4 linked regions of the Nothobranchius furzeri genome follow. The protein of the gene in region 1 interacts with the protein of each later gene in a pairwise test. Links are inferred from orthologs where the notes say so. Each region holds a gene or a part of one and is shown in the gene's direction. Other genes may lie near its edges.

Region 1 (3,970 bases):
TTCCATTCAATATCTGTTACAAAATTAGCCCAATAAGATATGGTCGATGGAACAGAAGTCATTGTATCCTGAAAGAGAGTTCTTATTTTGTTATTCACCAACGAGAGGAAAAACAAACACTGCCAAGAGAAGAATGTAACACATCCGGGCGACTGACTGATAGTGGAGCGCTGTGGGAGCATCTGAACAACATGGACAGACCGGATGGGATGGCATCAAACACTATTGAGAATTCTCTGGGCGTTATTGGTATATTGTATTTCCTAAGGAATTCAGAGTAATTGTATAAGAGCCCCTTTTCATCAAATAACTGGCTAACCAAGATGGTTCCATTATTAAACCAGTTATTTAAAAAATTGTTTTATTTTTATAAATAATATTGCAGTTATTCCAAATAAAACAGTTTTGCGGGGAGGAGTTGTGTTTGTAAATCAGTGCCCACGCCAAAAGAATTTGTTGATGGAAGTGAGAAAGTTTTAGTGGTATTTTTGGAATACTGTAACTGCAGAGCAGTAGGAAGTTAAGACCACCTGAATTAGAAAACACATGATGTGAGATAAAATTCCAGATAGAAGTGGGATTTTTTGAATACTTTTAAATCCAGTTTATTTTAAAGGTGTCGTTAAGAGCACCGAAATCAATAAAGCTTAAACCTCCTTTATCATATGGATTTAAAGCTACTGATTTACGTAAGTAGTGGGTTTTATTTTTCCATAAGAAATTGTATAACAATTTGCTAATTGATTTACAAGTTGTATTATCAACGTGTAGTGACTGTGCAGCATAGGTTAGACGGGAGATACCCACAGCTTTTGAAATCAGAACTCTTCCTTTTGATAGGTCTCGCTGTAGCCAACAATTAAAGATCTTTTGGGTTTTGTCTATAATAGGAGTAAAGTTCTTGGAGCATCTGGATTGCTCATTTTTTATTATTTGAATTCCAAGGTATCTTACAGAGTTTTTTTTACAGGTATTCCATGGATTGAAGTTGCAGAACAATTTTTAACTGGTAGCAGTTCACATTTATGTAGGTTGAGTGAAAGTCCGGATGATTTAGAGAATAACTTTATTGATGGCCAGGCATTATTGATCCTGGACCGACACCGGGCGGGCGGTGCGCCTTTAAGGCGGGGCGGAGTTGCCGGAGAGGAGGCCCGCCCTCTCGCCGTAGGAGGGCTCTCTCTGACAGGAAGAAGAGGGTTAGTGACTGGCAGTGGGTTTCTACGAAAGCCGGGTTGCGTCTTCTCTATCTGGTCCTTCACTAACCTCCGGATATATGGCTAAAAAGGGCATGAACCTGTGTAACGTGTGCTGCTTGCTTCTTTATGTCGCCACGGCGGTGCTCGCCGGGTAAGTGAGAGCTGCGATGAGCAGCTGGTACACATGTTCCTCTGTGATTGGTCTAACCGTCCTCCATGTGTGGAGCTGACTGACGCTCTCAACTAACTACTTAAGCGGCATTTAGTCGTTTACCATCAAAGCGATATATTCGCCATTACCAACCCGTATGACTCTAACTGGCCTCTTTTAAGCTAGTTTGATTAGTTAGCTGTAGGCTAACAGGAGTGAGACCGAACCGGCTTCTCCCGGTGTGTAGCTAGCTGCTGTCAGTCGGGACAAACTCTTAAACTAGCAGCTTTGTTTATAATGTCTACATGTCTGTGATACTGAACATGCTGCTATGTTTTTTTTTCTCTCCATCTGATCTAGTCGAGATTTCTATAAGATTTTGGGGGTGAGCAAGACGGCATCAATAAGAGACATTAAGAAGGCCTACAGGAAGCTGGCTCTGCAGCTGCACCCCGACAGGAACCAGGACGACCCCAAAGCTCAGGACAAATTTGCGGATTTAGGAGCAGCTTATGAGGTGGGCCAGAGTCGGTTGTAATGTCTGATGTCAGTGACATGACAAGAGGGGCGCAGCGAGCCCGTCTCGGCTGTAAACATGTCATAGTCACACAATAACAGGGATATTGGAGATCTTACACTGGATCCCCAGAAGTGCCGGTGGGCTCCATTGTGAGACTTTTGTAAGCTTTGCTACTTGGTTGTTGTTGGAAACGCTACGAGCTCGGTGATTGGTCGACTGGACCGTGTGGCTGCTTCTGATTGGCTGGAGCATGGCGGAAAGGCATACGTGGAAAAGTGGGGGTGGCGTTCTGAAAGGGTTTTGCAGGTGTTTCCGGCGCAAGGTTTTATTTCCAAATTGACTGTTTTCACCTTTTTTAGCTTTCAGACGTGTTCTGATTTATGAGTGTAAAAATCCCAATTCAGTAATATCTTTGCAGCCTGGGAAATGAATCTATAACGGGTTTGTCCTAATTATTTCATCTGTCATCTTAATAACGGTGACCATTTTTCAGTTTTTTCTTAAATTGTTTAATTTAATACACAAAATGTTTTAAACTCTAAGTGTGACAGTGGTGACTGAACACTAGGGAACTTTGAAAGATTACCAATAAATGCCCCACACGTTGTATGAAGAAAGTGTGTGTGTGTGTGTGTGTGTGTGTGTGTGTGTGTGTGTGTGTGTGTGTGTGTGTGTGTGTGTGTGTGTGTGTGTGTGTGTGTGTGTGTGTGTGTGTGTAGGTCCTCTCAGATGAAGAAAAGAGGAAACAGTATGATATGTATGGAGAAGACGGACTCAAGGAAGGCCACCATAGCTCTCACAATGACATCTTCTCCAGGTTAGTGTTGGTTTGGGTGTCTTGTTGTTATCTTGTTTGGTAGAACAATAAAGATACAAGAACTGACCTTGGTAACTTACAAGCAGCAAACTGTTTAAAATGAAGATTATTTTCTGTACAAATAAAACGATAATCTGCGTAAACCCAGAACTACCTGGAGAGATCACATCGCCAGGCTGCCCAGGGAACACCTTGGGGTCCCACTGGCTACGGTGTTGGAGGACAGACATCCTGGAGCTGCTACCCTCTCAACACAGACCTGAAAAGGCAGACAAATACTAACAAGCATTATTTATAATATTTAGATTAATGGTCACAGTGACTTGTGTCTGTATTGAGAGAACTCTAGAAGTAGATCTTCATTGAAAACATATCTTCAGATACATTTCCAACACCTGAGGGTTCATGTAGGAAACCCAGCACTCCTGAAAGACAAGCCCAGCATGTTCTAAAGCTTACATTTTACCTGGAAACTGGACAAGATGCTTTTGTTTTGGGGGATTCTCTGTCATCTGGGACATACAGATCAGGGCGCTGTGCCAGAAAGCAAGCTAATCCCCAAAACCAGGTGTTCTTTAGAAAATCCTGGCACTGCCTGGTTTTAAAACCACTCAGGATCAGAGGACACATAGGAGGGCACCCACAACACCCATGTTCAGAAGGGAAGTTGTCTTTTTAACTCTTGATCAAAGACACCTGATGTGCATCGGCCTTCCCTTAGTGACTTCACCTAACCCTTTCTCTCATTTCTCATTAAATTATTAGAATTTTAGTAAAAATGTTGAAGGCATACTTCAGACCAAACCTGATGGGAGTATAGGCCGCCCATCCATGCAGGTAGCAATCCGATGAAGCAGCTCCAGATGGGAGACATCGGTACCTCAAGCATATTCGACTGGATAAGTTCAGAACCGTGACCGCCAAAGGTAGCGCAGCTGGAGGTCCCTGCGTTCAAAGCCAAACACCCGAACAAGAAAAGATTACGAAGTTCGTAGAAAAAAACCGCAGTACGACCAGGTCGGTCCAGAGTCGTCTCCCTGATCACAACAGGTAGTTGTTTGCGTCTATGGAACGATGGACTCTGAAGGAGTCTTGGCTGTGTCAGCTTTGTTCCGAAGGAGCAAGGTTCTGTGTCGCTGCAGCGTGCAACAGGTTTGACAGCTTGTCAAGAGATGCGGTGGTTAGGGAGTTTTCCTCCGGTGGCCAGTCCGGAGTTCGGCTCAAAAACTAACTGAATCACTCAGCAAGTGATTCTGTTTTAACAATTTCCATATTATGATTAC
Region 2 (4,281 bases), on another chromosome or scaffold:
CAACATGTAGCTTCTCCTCATGAAAAATTCTTAGCCGATCTATGTTCTAAGTTTGTTTTATTTCTCAAGGAAACTGAAAAGACGGAACTTTCTTCTACATTTAATTTGTTAAATGATTGAGAAAAGCAAAAGGAAGCATCTTGATGTTTTTTTTTATTTACTCATGTTTTCGTGGAACAGGTGCCATAACAGAGGAAACACTTTTAACCCAAACATATCTGAAGAATGAGGATAAGAAAACAGAAGAGGAAAATCTGACCTAGAGTCAGCGGTTCCCAGTTTTATTTAATCAACAAATTGTTCCTGACACGTGACTTTCATGAATGAGCTAAACTACAACAATCAAAATAAAAACCAAGAGTGATTTTTATTCTCTGCAGCTCCATGTTCTAATCTGATAGTGATGTTTTGTTTGTTTGTGTCCCTTCCTGACCCCTCTTTAGATAAGATGCTGCCTGTTCCTGTCTGGATCCATCTACGACTCCCCCTTCAGCACTGCTGCCAGCTCCCCGCTCTCCTTCAGCTCCTTGACTATGTCCAAGCCTCCGATCAGCTCCCCTTTCACATACAGCTGGGGATAAGTGGGCCAGTTGGAGTAAGTCTTGAGCCCCTGACGGACCTCTTCATCCTGCAGGATATCAAAGGTGTCATAGTCCACCCCAGAGGCGTTTAAAATCTCCAGGATCTGCCTGCTGAAGCCGCACTTTGCAGCCTCCTTGTTGCCCTTCATGAACAGCATTACTGGACTCTGGTTGATGATGGTCTTCAGACGGTGATCCAAGTTCACGGCCTTGGGGCAGGCGTTCTCCAGCTCCCCTGACTCCGCCAGCTCCTTCACGATGTCCAGTCCCCCCACTAGCTCCCCGTTCACGTACAGCTGCGGGTATGTGGGCCAGTTGGAGTAGGTCTTCAGGCCCTGCCGGACCTCTTCATCGGACAGGATGTCGAAACTGCTGAACTGGATGCTGTGCTCCTTCAGCAGCGCCACTATCTGCCGGCTGAAGCCGCAGCGGGGCTCCTGTGGGGCGCCCTTCATGAACAGCATGCAGGGGGCCGCGTTAATCAGCTTCTTTAGCCGCTGGTTCAGGTCCTCTCCTCCCGATGACTCATTCGGGCTCCCGGCCACCGCCAACCTTTGAACCATCTTGGTCAACTCCGCCGCATGCGCCCCGTCCAGTCGGTCCACTTTCTCTCCCGCCTTAAAGAAAACGACCGTTGGCACCGAGGAGATTTCATACTTCTCCGAAACCTCCGGGAGCGTCTCCGCTTCTAGCTTCACGAACGTGGTGTGCGCGTGCTCCTTGGCCAGCACGGTCATCACCTCGTTCATCTGGCCGCACTGAGGAGCCCATGGAGCGTAGAAGTGGACCACGGTCAGTCGTTTTCCAGCTTTAGAGAGGATATCCTCAAACTGTTGTTGACTTGTCGCTTCCACGAGATTCGCCATCTTTTCTTCTCCTTGAGCTTTTTCCGCTGCCGATCTGACGTCACTTCCGTGTAGCCTAGTAGCACGAACCGGAGGTAAGAACTACCGGAAAGTTTTCTGTTACCGGGAGATAAAAACCAGCTGCGCGTCCCGGATAAGTTGCAACGACAAAGTAAGCATTAAATGAAACATCGTTTTGTAAATCCAACTTTCCAAATGTTTTTCTTTTCTTGTTACGCTCAGTTGCTTTAGCACGAGCTTAGCCATTTGACCAGTTAGCCGTATATATGCCGATGGTTGAAACTCAGATATTTCCAGGTTTATTGGCTCTTAGTAGTAACTCACTACTGCTAAACGTTAGACGTGTTGTTTGTTTAGTCGGGATTAAAATGCAAGAGGAATTTAGTGCAAGAGCTACGTTGTTCTGGTGTCTAGTTGTCGGGATGTAGCTTCGGTTGCTAAGGGGCTACCGTTAGCCTTTTAGGTTGTTGGTAAACATCTGTACATGACTTAAAATATTAATTGAACAGACTGTAAAACAAATTTCTGTATTCACATGTGAATTTTTCTAACTTTATGCTCAGCTTGTAATATTTTAGTGACGCAACAAAAACTCTCCGTAAAATTTTTAAAATGGGGTGTTTTTTAGCCTAGAAATCCAGACCAACCGTAGCAGTAGGGAGAAGTCTCATCCCTTTCCGGTCAGCTCATGGGTTCCCGGAAAAACGAAAAAATGAATGCAACTCAATGCGGCTAAAAGAGCTATTTTCTAATCCGCTTTGCCTTAGGCCCAGTGTCACACATATGTTGCACTGCAATTTAAACGAAAACTAATAATGGGTGTTTGGACCATGCAAGTGACATACTTTGAGATTTATCAGCTTGTAAAAGTTTGTAATTAGCATAACTACAAATTAGACATCAGCACGTCACATACAGTATATGACGTTACCACAGAATCTCTTCTCATCTAGAATAGCTGCTATTTACAAAATGGCCAGATTTATGGTGTTTTTTTTTCCTCCCGAAGGAAGGATTTTAAGTTGGCTAAACTTACAGCCATTTCTGTTTTTCTCCGTGGCTGGTTTGATGACGTCACTTTCGTGAAGCGCATTGTAAATGATAAATGACCCGCACTTGTATAGCACCTCTCAGAGTATGGACTCCAAAGCGCTTTACACTACAGTGTATCATTCATCCATTCACACACATTCACACAATGATGGTGATGAGCTACAATGTAGCCACAGCTGCCCTGGGGGGGGGGGGGGGGTTTGCACTGACAGAGGCGAGGCTGCCAAGCACAGGCGTCACCGGTCCTTCTGACCACCACCAGCAGGCAAGGTGGGTTAAGTGTCTTGCCCAAGGAATTCTCTGTTGGAGCCGGGATCGAACCTGCAACCTTCCGATTACTGGACAACCCACTCAACCTGTGGAGCTACTGCTGCCCCAATACTGTAGTCCTTATTTTCACACAAAACCTAAGTTTTTTATTTAAAGTTTATTATATTTCTTAGCTCATTTGAACAGTACGACTGGTAGAACATTGCTTGCATTTTGCAAAGAAATCACATTAAATATTTAAAAACATATATTCTTAATGAAATAAAAGTATGTAAATGTCAGAGGTCACCACCAAACCCACTGTAGAATAGATGCAAATCTGCAGCATGCAAGGACCATGTTTGAGGGGGTGGGGTGATTTTAGTTGTCACCTTTTTCTCAGCTTCTGAGTTTGCAGGTATGAGAAAATAGATGCAACTAATACAATTATTTTTTGTTCTTCTATACCAGCTATTTGCTTGTGTTTTTGTACCATGTGGCTTTACGTACCATTGCTACAGCTTTGCTATCCCAGATGTGGCATAACCTGCCAGTTGATTAAGTGAAAAACAAAGCAATGCAGTATTTCAAAACAATGAGTGTTTAACAGTTGATTAGTTCATTGCGATAATTTTTATATTTAGAAGGTCTTAAAAAGTCTTAAATTTAATTTTGAGATCCCTGCAAGATCAACTGTCACATCTTAGGAACAATTGACCCTGTTCCAGTTCCTACATTACCACCCACCCTGAGCTCCCTCAATACTGTTTCATACTCCGAGCTGAGTAAGCCAGTTGCGAGGCAGAAGCCATCTGGCTCTCCACTTGATGTTCTACCGCCTCGTCTCTGGAAGGCTGCCTTTCCGTGCCTTGGCCCTTCACTTGGTCAGATTATCAATGGGAGCCTCAGCACAGGTGTGGTCCCAGCTGCTTTGAAAGCAGCAGTTATTCGGCCGACCCTGAAGAAACCTGGTGCTGATGTCTCTGTGATAGAAAATTACAGGCCTATCTCTACCCTGCCCTTTACATCTAAACTGCTTGAGAAAGTCGTTTATCAGCAGCTGGTCTCACATTTAGCTGACTCTGATCTGTTTGAGGTTTTCCAATCAGGGTTCAGGTCTGGCCATAGCACAGAGTCTGCTCTACTGAGGGTCCTAAATGACATCTATCTATCACTAGATCAGGGAACATCTGTGCTGCTTCTGTTATTAGACCTGACAGCAGCCTTCGACACAGTTGACCACGCGATTCTACTCGATCGCTTGGAACGATGGGTTGGGATCAAAGGGTCAGCTCTGGACTGGTTTAGATCGTATCTCCAAAACAGGACATTCTGTGTTAAACTGGGTGATGTTTTTTCTTCTTGGGAGGGGCTCCGGTGGGGGGTCCCGCAGGGGTCGATCCTTGGTCCACTTTTGTTTGCCATTTATCTGCTACCTCTGGGGTCAATCTTTCGTAAACATGGCCTATCATTCCATCTGTATGCTGACGATTGCCAGATTTACTCTCCATTGTGTCAGGAGAAAGGTCACT
Region 3 (4,071 bases), on another chromosome or scaffold:
ATGCTACCTTCTTGTTGTAGCTGTGCAAGGAAAAGTGCTAAATATGTGTCTGATATCAACTCTGGTCCTGTCAACAGTGAATTCAGGTTAAACCACTGCAAAGGAAACAGAGAATTTTAGTGAATCAAGCTGCTATAAGACAAGTATGACTAGGTAAGTGAGTGAGTGCCACACACCTGTTGTCCAAGTTTGCGTATAGTAAACCAGTGCTCCTTATAATTGCAAATGAAGGCTTTCTCATTTCTGAAACACAAAGTAAGCATCAGCTTAAAGAAATGAGAGATCAGGATCTTCTATCATAATGTTTCCACATTAAAACCTTACACTGGGTTTATCATTAGGCTCTGGTACTCTCGACTATTAAAGAGGAGTAGCTCCAAGCCCCAGACTCGAAGAGCATTGCTAATCACCTTGAAAATATTGAAACAAGAGTGATATTACAGAAGAGGACATGGATTTTAGAAGCAATAAAAAGATAATTGTAAACTCACTTGTATTGAAAAGAACCCACTATCATCCATGTTCCCAGAGGGTTGCTTTAAACACATTTTCGAAAGAAAAACATGAATAAAATTACATTTTTGATAACATTTTGTACCAATATGTACCCTCTGTCTCATAACACCTGTAAAAAGGTCCTGTACTCCTCACTAGCCATTCCCCCCTCTGCCATCCTCATCCTCTCCTCTTCATCAAGCTGATGAGCGATAGAGGACAGGTCCACAGGAGTGAAATACTCGCCCTGCAGAAGGTTGTTGAGGCAGTGCTGGGCACAGAGGGAGCCCTCTTGCTGCAAACAAAGGATCAGGAATGTAACAAGCATCCAGCATCAGCTGGACTTCTGGAATAAAGATGCTCAACCAAAACAAACACATGTAGCAGCTAGCCCAACGAGGACCCAGCCAAGCAGAGAGCGATTAACTAACAAGAAAACAAAACCCCTACATGACGCCAGGAATAGTTATCATGTTAAAAATCTAACTTTTCACATTCTCTGACTAGCAAGTGAATTAGCGTATTAGCAGTTTGTACAACAACTCCATCACAAACGCCTCGATAGCGGCTACTTAACTGGTAAAACTATTCAGCAGATCGAGCACCGACACCGCTTAATCAAAAATCAGTAAATATAATCAGGTAAATTCGTGTTATAAAATGTTTAAACCTACTTTCTCATGAAATATGGAGTCCATATTCAGCTTTCTGTCAAACGTTCAACTCTCTAACCCCCGCCCCTCACTCGCCCTATCGAGAGGAGACGCCCCCTAGCGGGCGGGCGTGCGCGCGGCACAGTGCTGGACGCCTCTACTTACGGCAAATGGAATATGGCGGACAGTGAGAATTCCATGAACAGGCTGGAGCTGAGTCAGGTATGATGTTCTCTCAGCTAATTCCGTTGACAGCGCTTTCTGAGAGTTTGTGGCAAAACGACGGAGTTTAAAATAAAAAAAAAATCATGTGTAATAAGGTTTTACTGCATTATGGTAGAAGGTTGTTCTTGCCAGGCTAATAATAGTCGTAGCCGCCAAGGCTAACTAGCATTAGAGAGGCATCACGCTGTTTATTACGGATAAACCGACTTTATTTTTACTTCTTTTCGGGATAAATTTAGTCTTTTTCCATGAGAAATGATGTAAGTGTTTGTCTTTCCCCTCTGTGCTTACACATGACATTTAAAATGCTTAGCCTGAGGTCCTGAATGCCTTTTCCGTTTATTTACAGTGAAAGTAAACTAGTCTACTGTTACTGTGTTGTTATTCATATTTAGGTTTACCTGTTCAGATATTTTCGCCTCCCAAACACCAACATAATCACGCATTTTTAAACGTCCTAATGTAGTTACAGCCTTTGTGTTTTATTATTGAGAAATCCGTCTAATGTGGTTTTTGTTTTAGTTTCGTATAAAATAAATTATTTCAGTTTTATTTTCAAAACCGAAATATAATTTTTGTATAATTTTACTTGCTTCATCCAATCCATTGTATTATTTTCAAGGTGTTCAGTTGGTACACAAAAACATATTTGTTCTGATGATGCATATTTATGTAAGTGAACCTAAACAGACTCCTGGCGTGGATGTACCATACACTCACCAGTTTGTTTAGCAGGTAAACCAGTTCAGATGCTTATTAACACAAACAGCCAATCAGGTGGTAGCATTTAGACATGTGGACATGATGAAGTTTTGTCTGATTATCTGGGGAAGAAAGGGGATTTCAGTGGTAATGAATGTGGTTTTGTGCTGGTGCCAGGCAGGCTGGTCTGAGTGTTGCAGTTTTCATCATGATATTAGCAAAAGGTTGCATCTCAACTTCAGCTGCAACATTCATAAATGTTAGGTTAGACTTTGATGTTAACAACTTGAAAACATGGATCCATCTTAACGGTTCAGGCTGCTGGTGGTGATGTAATGGTCTGGGCCCGTACCTGATTATTGTTGGCGATAGTGTCCATACTTGTGTTTCCACACTGGACCCATGCTCTGACGGCTACATCCAGCAGGATAATACTACAAAGCTCTAATCATCTCAAAATGATGTTTTATTCAAGCCGCTACAGTCACTACATCTGAATCGAATTAATCACATTTTAGAAGAGGAGACTCACATCACATGTTTTCAGGTGACAGATCTGCATGAACTGCTTGATAATCCTATTATCTAAATATAGACCAACATCTTTGTATTAGGTTTCCAGTGACAAAAGGCAGTTTTGAAGCAAAGGTTTACTAAGGTGTAGGGATGTCCCGTTCCGATATCGATATCGGCCCAAAAACAATGTATCGGATTATATCGAACGGCATTAAAAATCTCTGATGTAAGCGGTCTGTTAAGGTTCACATTTTCGCAACCAACTGTTCATACTTAATGTTATTGGCTCTTGTTCTCCGATTGAGTAAAATCACTTGATCAAGCCTTTCATACATTGCACACTAGGAAATAAGTAAAAATATGTATGATTTGTGCTGATATCGTATCGGATTGATATCGGTATCGGTCAACACTGAAGACTGCAATATTGGTATTCAGAAGTGGAAAAAGTTGTATCGGGACATCCCTACTAAGGTGTACCTAATAAATTGGCTGGCAGATGTATATTTGTTGTACTAAATGTCACATGATGCGATTGAGCCTAGATTAAATAAAAATATCAGATTGTTGTGGAATTTAGATATAGTCGATTTACTTCTTTGTTTTTGCTACATACTTCTCTATGTAGTAAAAGGATGCGTATATAAGCGTTTCACTGCCAGAACTGGTTATCTTGTTTTCTATTGATTTTTTTATTCATCCCAGGAATTTACATGGTTTTCTCTCATTATATTAGTCCTATTAGGCCTATAATGGACTGGAAGGGTTCTCCCAGGAAGGATTATCCATCAGCGTTGGTATAGTCAATGCGCAATGTTTTATTACGTTTCTACAGATTCATCAGCTGTTCACTGGCTTTGCTCTTGGCTCCCTTTAGATGTTAGACACCAGAGTTCAGCCCAGTTGCCGCTGTCAGAGTAAAGATGCATGACTCATTCTTGCCTCATTACAAAAAGTTGCTGGAAACCAAAGTTTTTCACTTTGCTGCATTATTTTTGCACGTTTAATTAAATCAGTTAAGTTTAAAATTCACCTGAGACCTGCATAAAATAACTCAATGATGAGGATTTAAAAAATATATATAATGTAAATGAATACACATATTTTTATGTTAATTACAATTAAATTAATGTTGTTATTCTTAAAAATCGAAGGCACGTTCATTCAGTGACCAGATTAACAAAAACTCTCCAGTCTAAATAATTCAGATTATTTAACTGAACAGTAAGATGTTTTATTGCAGGTGTTTTTTGTTTTTTTTTTGCCAGTGGTGGTCAGATCCCACATCGTTTCCTCCTCTGTTGTCTTCTCTAAGGGATGGCTGGAAGCTGCAGACTGCAGAGCCGAACTGCTCCGCCACCTGAAGGAGCAGGTACCGCAGATCTTCTGTCTGAAGAAGGAGCCCTGCCTCCAGGAGGAAGAGGAGCTCGCCCAGAGCCGCCTCCTTTACCCTTTCGAGTGTTTCCTGTTCGGAGAAGAT
Region 4 (4,119 bases), on another chromosome or scaffold:
GTTTAATTATAAGTTCAGCAAACTCAAAAAGATGTTCATAAAGCCTATTATTATCACGGTAATATAATTTGTTCCCTTTTGGTTTAAAAATCAATGCAAATCTAAGCCTTTGCATCATGTAAAGGTTTCATATTTGCACATAACGCTACAGAAAGATGTCAGAGCATTTAGCATGTCAGGAAATCTGCCATTAAAGGCACTTTTTGTGTCTGAATTTGATCTTATTAACTCTTTCACTTCCCCACAGAGAAAAGAACACACAACATTTGTAATTTTTCCCAAGTTAAAACAACAGAGGTAAAATTATAATAGCAAAATGATATTAATCTAATTCTAATCAATCAATCAATCAATCGATTTTATTTGTAGAGCACCTTCTGCAACTTTATCAGAAGCCAAATGTGCTGAACAGCATCATCATAAAAACATTCCCAGTACCTGGGCATAAAAGCAAGATAAAAACATAAAATCATAAAATAACAAGCAAGCAATATCACAAATACAGAGAGATAATGGAATAAGATTAATCAATTAAAAACAAATGGTGGACAAAATAAGATCAATCATCCTGATCAAAAAGAGGAAGTATTAAAAACCATAATGTCAGGGCATTTCAATGAACCCTAGCGCTGAAAAGCAATCAAATAAAAATGAGTCTTTAGACAAGACTTAAAGACTTGAAGGGACGGTGCCTGCCTGATGCTCAATGGCAATTCATTCCACAGAGTTGGAGCCAAAACAGAAAATACACGATAACCCCTCGATCGATATTTCGACTGGGGGACCACCAGACGTCCCTGCTCGGCTGAGCAAAGAGACCGAGATGGAGCATACTTGTGCAAAAGTGCAGTAATGTAAGAGGGGGCACTGCTCTGGAGAGCCTTATAAGCAAGAGTTAAGATATTAAATTTAGCTCGATATTCCACCGGGAGCCAGTTTAGAGTAACCAGCACTGGAGTAATGTGATCTCGGCATCTAGTACCTGTCAGGAACCTAGCCACTGAGTTCTGTACAAATTGGAGCCGTGCAACCATGCACTGGGCCAGACCAGCATACAGAGCGTTACGGTAGTCCAGACGGGACAGGACGAAAGCATGCAACACAGACTCCAGATGAGCTCTGGACAGCAGAGGCCTGATCCTGGATAGTCATTTCAGATAAAAAAAAATAAAACAGTACCTCACCACCGCATTTATGTGAATGTCAAGATTAAGTGAGGAGTCAATTTTTATCCCCAAATTACTGGCTATTTTCTTTTCATAGGGGGTCAGTGGGCCAAGGTCAAAATCAGCACCTGAGCCATTTCTTCTGCCAGGACTAAGATTATGACTTCCGTTTTGCTCTCATTTAATGTAAGGTAATGCTTCACTTTGTGTTCAAGTATTCCCTTTCATATGCATTTATGTATTATTTATAGTCTTTTTTTACATGTTCTGATAACAAACAAAGATAGCCAACAGTGCTTTACCCAAAAAGTATTTTCATGGCAACTTTATTGCAAGACCTGCTCCAAATAGCTTTTTTGTAATATTGTAAAAACTGCTGATATAAGATGATGTATTTACACCTTCACTGCAGCTACAGCTACTAAATTCCCATTTCCTTTTGTGCTGAAACAGCATAAATCATTTAAAACACCTAAATATTTGTGATGCCTGTCTTTCAGAGATGACATATTGTTTTCTTTAAAAAATAAAACTGATAAAGTGAAGCATAAGCACATCCTGTGCAAGAATCTCCCCGTTTTGACACTTTAATCTAAGAGACAAAACTATGGCGCGGTATGGGGGCCAAAATTAAGACTACTGCCCAGCAGCAGGAGGCTATATAAATTTCGAAGCAAACTACCGACCTGATTAATGATAAGCTGGCACCGGTAACTGAGAGGCTGGCGCTGCTTACTGAGAAATAGCACCTTTACTGGCGTTATTACTAGATACGCTACGGACTAGCAGCCCTCGGCTGGTCATTGACTGGTTCAAACACTCCTTTAGCGTGCCTAGGCTGGCCACTAGCTGGATTCCCTATCCCCTTGACGGACCTTAAGCATGGATAGGCTAGCTTTGCCTGGATAGGCTGGCATTAGCATCAGAGAGGCTAGCCATCAGCATGTCTCAGAGAGTCACTAGTCAGCTAGTGGCCAGCCTAGGCACGCTAATGGCTAGTCTCTCCGATGCTAACACCATCCCGTCCAGGCAAAGCTAGCATATCCATGCTAATAGACAGCAGAGGGGGTGTGTGAACCAGTCAATGACCATACCATACCATACCATATTTATTTATAAAGCACCATTTCAAAATAGCATGGCAGCTAACCAAAGTGCTGTACATAAAAAAGCCAAATGCTTGAACTAGAAGCACAATGCGAACTGGGAAAATACATAAGAACAAAGCATAAATAGTCAGAGATAAAAATTCCTGCTAAAAACAATAAAATAGGAGAACAGTTAACAGCACTATAAAAATAAAATAATGCAACGAATAATAAAAACATTTCAAATGGCACAAATAAAACAAAATAAAATACCAGATGGTACGAGGTGCCAAAAGTGAGCAACTAAATCATAAAAATGGAATTAAAAACTCAAATCCGGTGCTAGATTGTCATGAAAAGTGTCAAGGAGCAAAGGCAATGCTAAAGAAGTGCGTTTTCGGGGCCGACTTGAAACTGCGAACAGAGGGAGCCAGACACACACGGAGGGGCAAAGAGTTCCAGAGTTTTGGGGCTGCATAAGAGAAGGCACACACCTAGGCTAGCGGCACATGATTTGAGATTGAGTGGGAGAGTTGAGACATCAAAAGCACCATTCATGTTAGTGGGGCTAAAAAGTATGGCATCTGATTTGATGTCATTTAACCGTAGGCAGTTTTGAGAAAGCCAGGATCTGACCTGCGAGAGGCATTCTGACATTATAGAAAATGAGTGCTGTTGGTTGATTTGAAGGTAGATCTGGCAATCATCTGCATAAAAGTGGTAGTTAACCCAGAGACTTGCTAAAATCTTACCAAGTGGTAGTATGTAAATTGAAAAGAGGACAGGACCCAGGATGGAGCCCTGTGGTACTCCCCATGGAAGTGGGACATTGGGAGAAGGGCAGTCTCCAACATGAACACTAAAACACCGAACATTAAGGTACGACTTAAACCATTTGAGGGCAGTACTGGTCACACCCACCCAAAATTCAAGTCAGTGAAGTAGGATGGTGAGGTCTACAGTGCTGAATGCTGCAGTCAGGTGGAGTCAGGTGGAGTAAGAGTAACAGCACATGGGAGCCAGAGTCAGTTAGAATCAGGCTGTCATTGAATGCCCTAATGTGTGCAGATTCTGTGCTTTAATTACGTCTAAAACCTGATTGGAATGGGTCAAGAAGCCCATTGTCATCTAGGTGAGAACAAAGCTGCGTGAGAGCCAGTTTCTCAACTACTTTTGAGATGAATGGAAGTTTTGAGATTGGGCGATAATTGGCACAGTCAGACTGGTCAAGGCCTGGTTTCTTCAATAGCGGCTGAACAACTGCATTTTTAAAAGCAGCTGGAAACACACCAGAGGAGAAGCTGGAATTTACAATATCCAGAACAGCAGGGGCCACTGCTGGAAGGACATCGCGCAGCAGTCTTGGAGGAAGGCTATCCTCTGGAGAGCCTGAGGGCTTCATAGCCAAGATTAGATCAACCAGGGAAGAGGGTGTCACATGAGCAAAGCAAGAGAATTAGGGTGGACAGTGAGGTTCCACACAGGTAACCCAGCCTGAGTAAGAGAAACTGGTTCTAATTTCCTGAATTTTATGCAGGAAAAAGTTTTGAATCTCATTGCAAAGAGCCCCTGTAGAGGGAGAAGAGTTGGGAGATTCTCTAAGGAATGGTACAGAGGTGAGGACACTGTATAGTTTCTTCTGGTCGTTTTTATTCCTAGTGATTATATTTGCAAAATATCTGTTTCTAGCTGTGCGGACAGCTTTCTGATAGCAGGTCAAAGAATCCTTGAATAATTGGTAGGAGATTTGCAGCTTGTCCTTCCGCCACCGGCGTTCGCAGACCCTACATTGGCGTCTTAGGGCACAAGTGTCCTCAGTGAGCCAAGGGTCTGCTACAGTTTTTTTGTGCCTGGATTTTAGAGGA

The links. The genes of interacting proteins can lie anywhere in the genome.
Region 2: the proteins of dnajb11 (region 1) and bag6 interact in a two-hybrid assay, tested with the Homo sapiens proteins (2 studies listed by BioGRID and IntAct). The link is inferred for Nothobranchius furzeri from reciprocal best matches to the Homo sapiens genes DNAJB11 and BAG6.
Region 3: the proteins of dnajb11 (region 1) and ubr1 interact in a two-hybrid assay, tested with the Homo sapiens proteins (2 studies listed by BioGRID and IntAct). The link is inferred for Nothobranchius furzeri from reciprocal best matches to the Homo sapiens genes DNAJB11 and UBR1.
Region 4: the proteins of dnajb11 (region 1) and ptn interact in a two-hybrid assay, tested with the Homo sapiens proteins (2 studies listed by BioGRID and IntAct). The link is inferred for Nothobranchius furzeri from reciprocal best matches to the Homo sapiens genes DNAJB11 and PTN.

Annotation. Positions count from the first base shown.
Region 1 is NC_091754.1:36,589,862-36,593,831, reverse strand, and holds the start of dnajb11 (dnaJ homolog subfamily B member 11), read left to right. Parts: upstream 1-1,160; 5' UTR 1,161-1,276; coding exon 1,277-1,350; intron 1,351-1,710; coding exon 1,711-1,867; intron 1,868-2,589; coding exon 2,590-2,687; intron 2,688-3,970. UniProt on the Homo sapiens protein: As a co-chaperone for HSPA5 it is required for proper folding, trafficking or degradation of proteins.
Region 2 is NC_091745.1:60,779,866-60,784,146, forward strand, and holds the start of bag6 (large proline-rich protein BAG6), read left to right. Parts: upstream 1-1,472; 5' UTR 1,473-1,598; intron 1,599-4,281. Other genes in the region: glrx3 (glutaredoxin 3), read right to left, coding at 476-1,447. UniProt on the Homo sapiens protein: ATP-independent molecular chaperone preventing the aggregation of misfolded and hydrophobic patches-containing proteins.
Region 3 is NC_091758.1:31,657,477-31,661,547, forward strand, and holds the start of ubr1 (E3 ubiquitin-protein ligase UBR1), read left to right. Parts: upstream 1-1,262; 5' UTR 1,263-1,325; coding exon 1,326-1,370; intron 1,371-3,906; coding exon 3,907-4,071. Other genes in the region: atxn3 (ataxin-3), read right to left, coding at 8-95, 177-243, 325-410, 492-536, 626-790, 1,170-1,193. UniProt on the Homo sapiens protein: E3 ubiquitin-protein ligase which is a component of the N-end rule pathway. Recognizes and binds proteins bearing specific N-terminal residues that are destabilizing according to the N-end rule, leading to their ubiquitination and subsequent degradation.
Region 4 is NC_091741.1:42,191,317-42,195,435, reverse strand, and holds the start of ptn (pleiotrophin), read left to right. Parts: upstream 1-1,310; 5' UTR 1,311-1,325; coding exon 1,326-1,357; intron 1,358-4,119.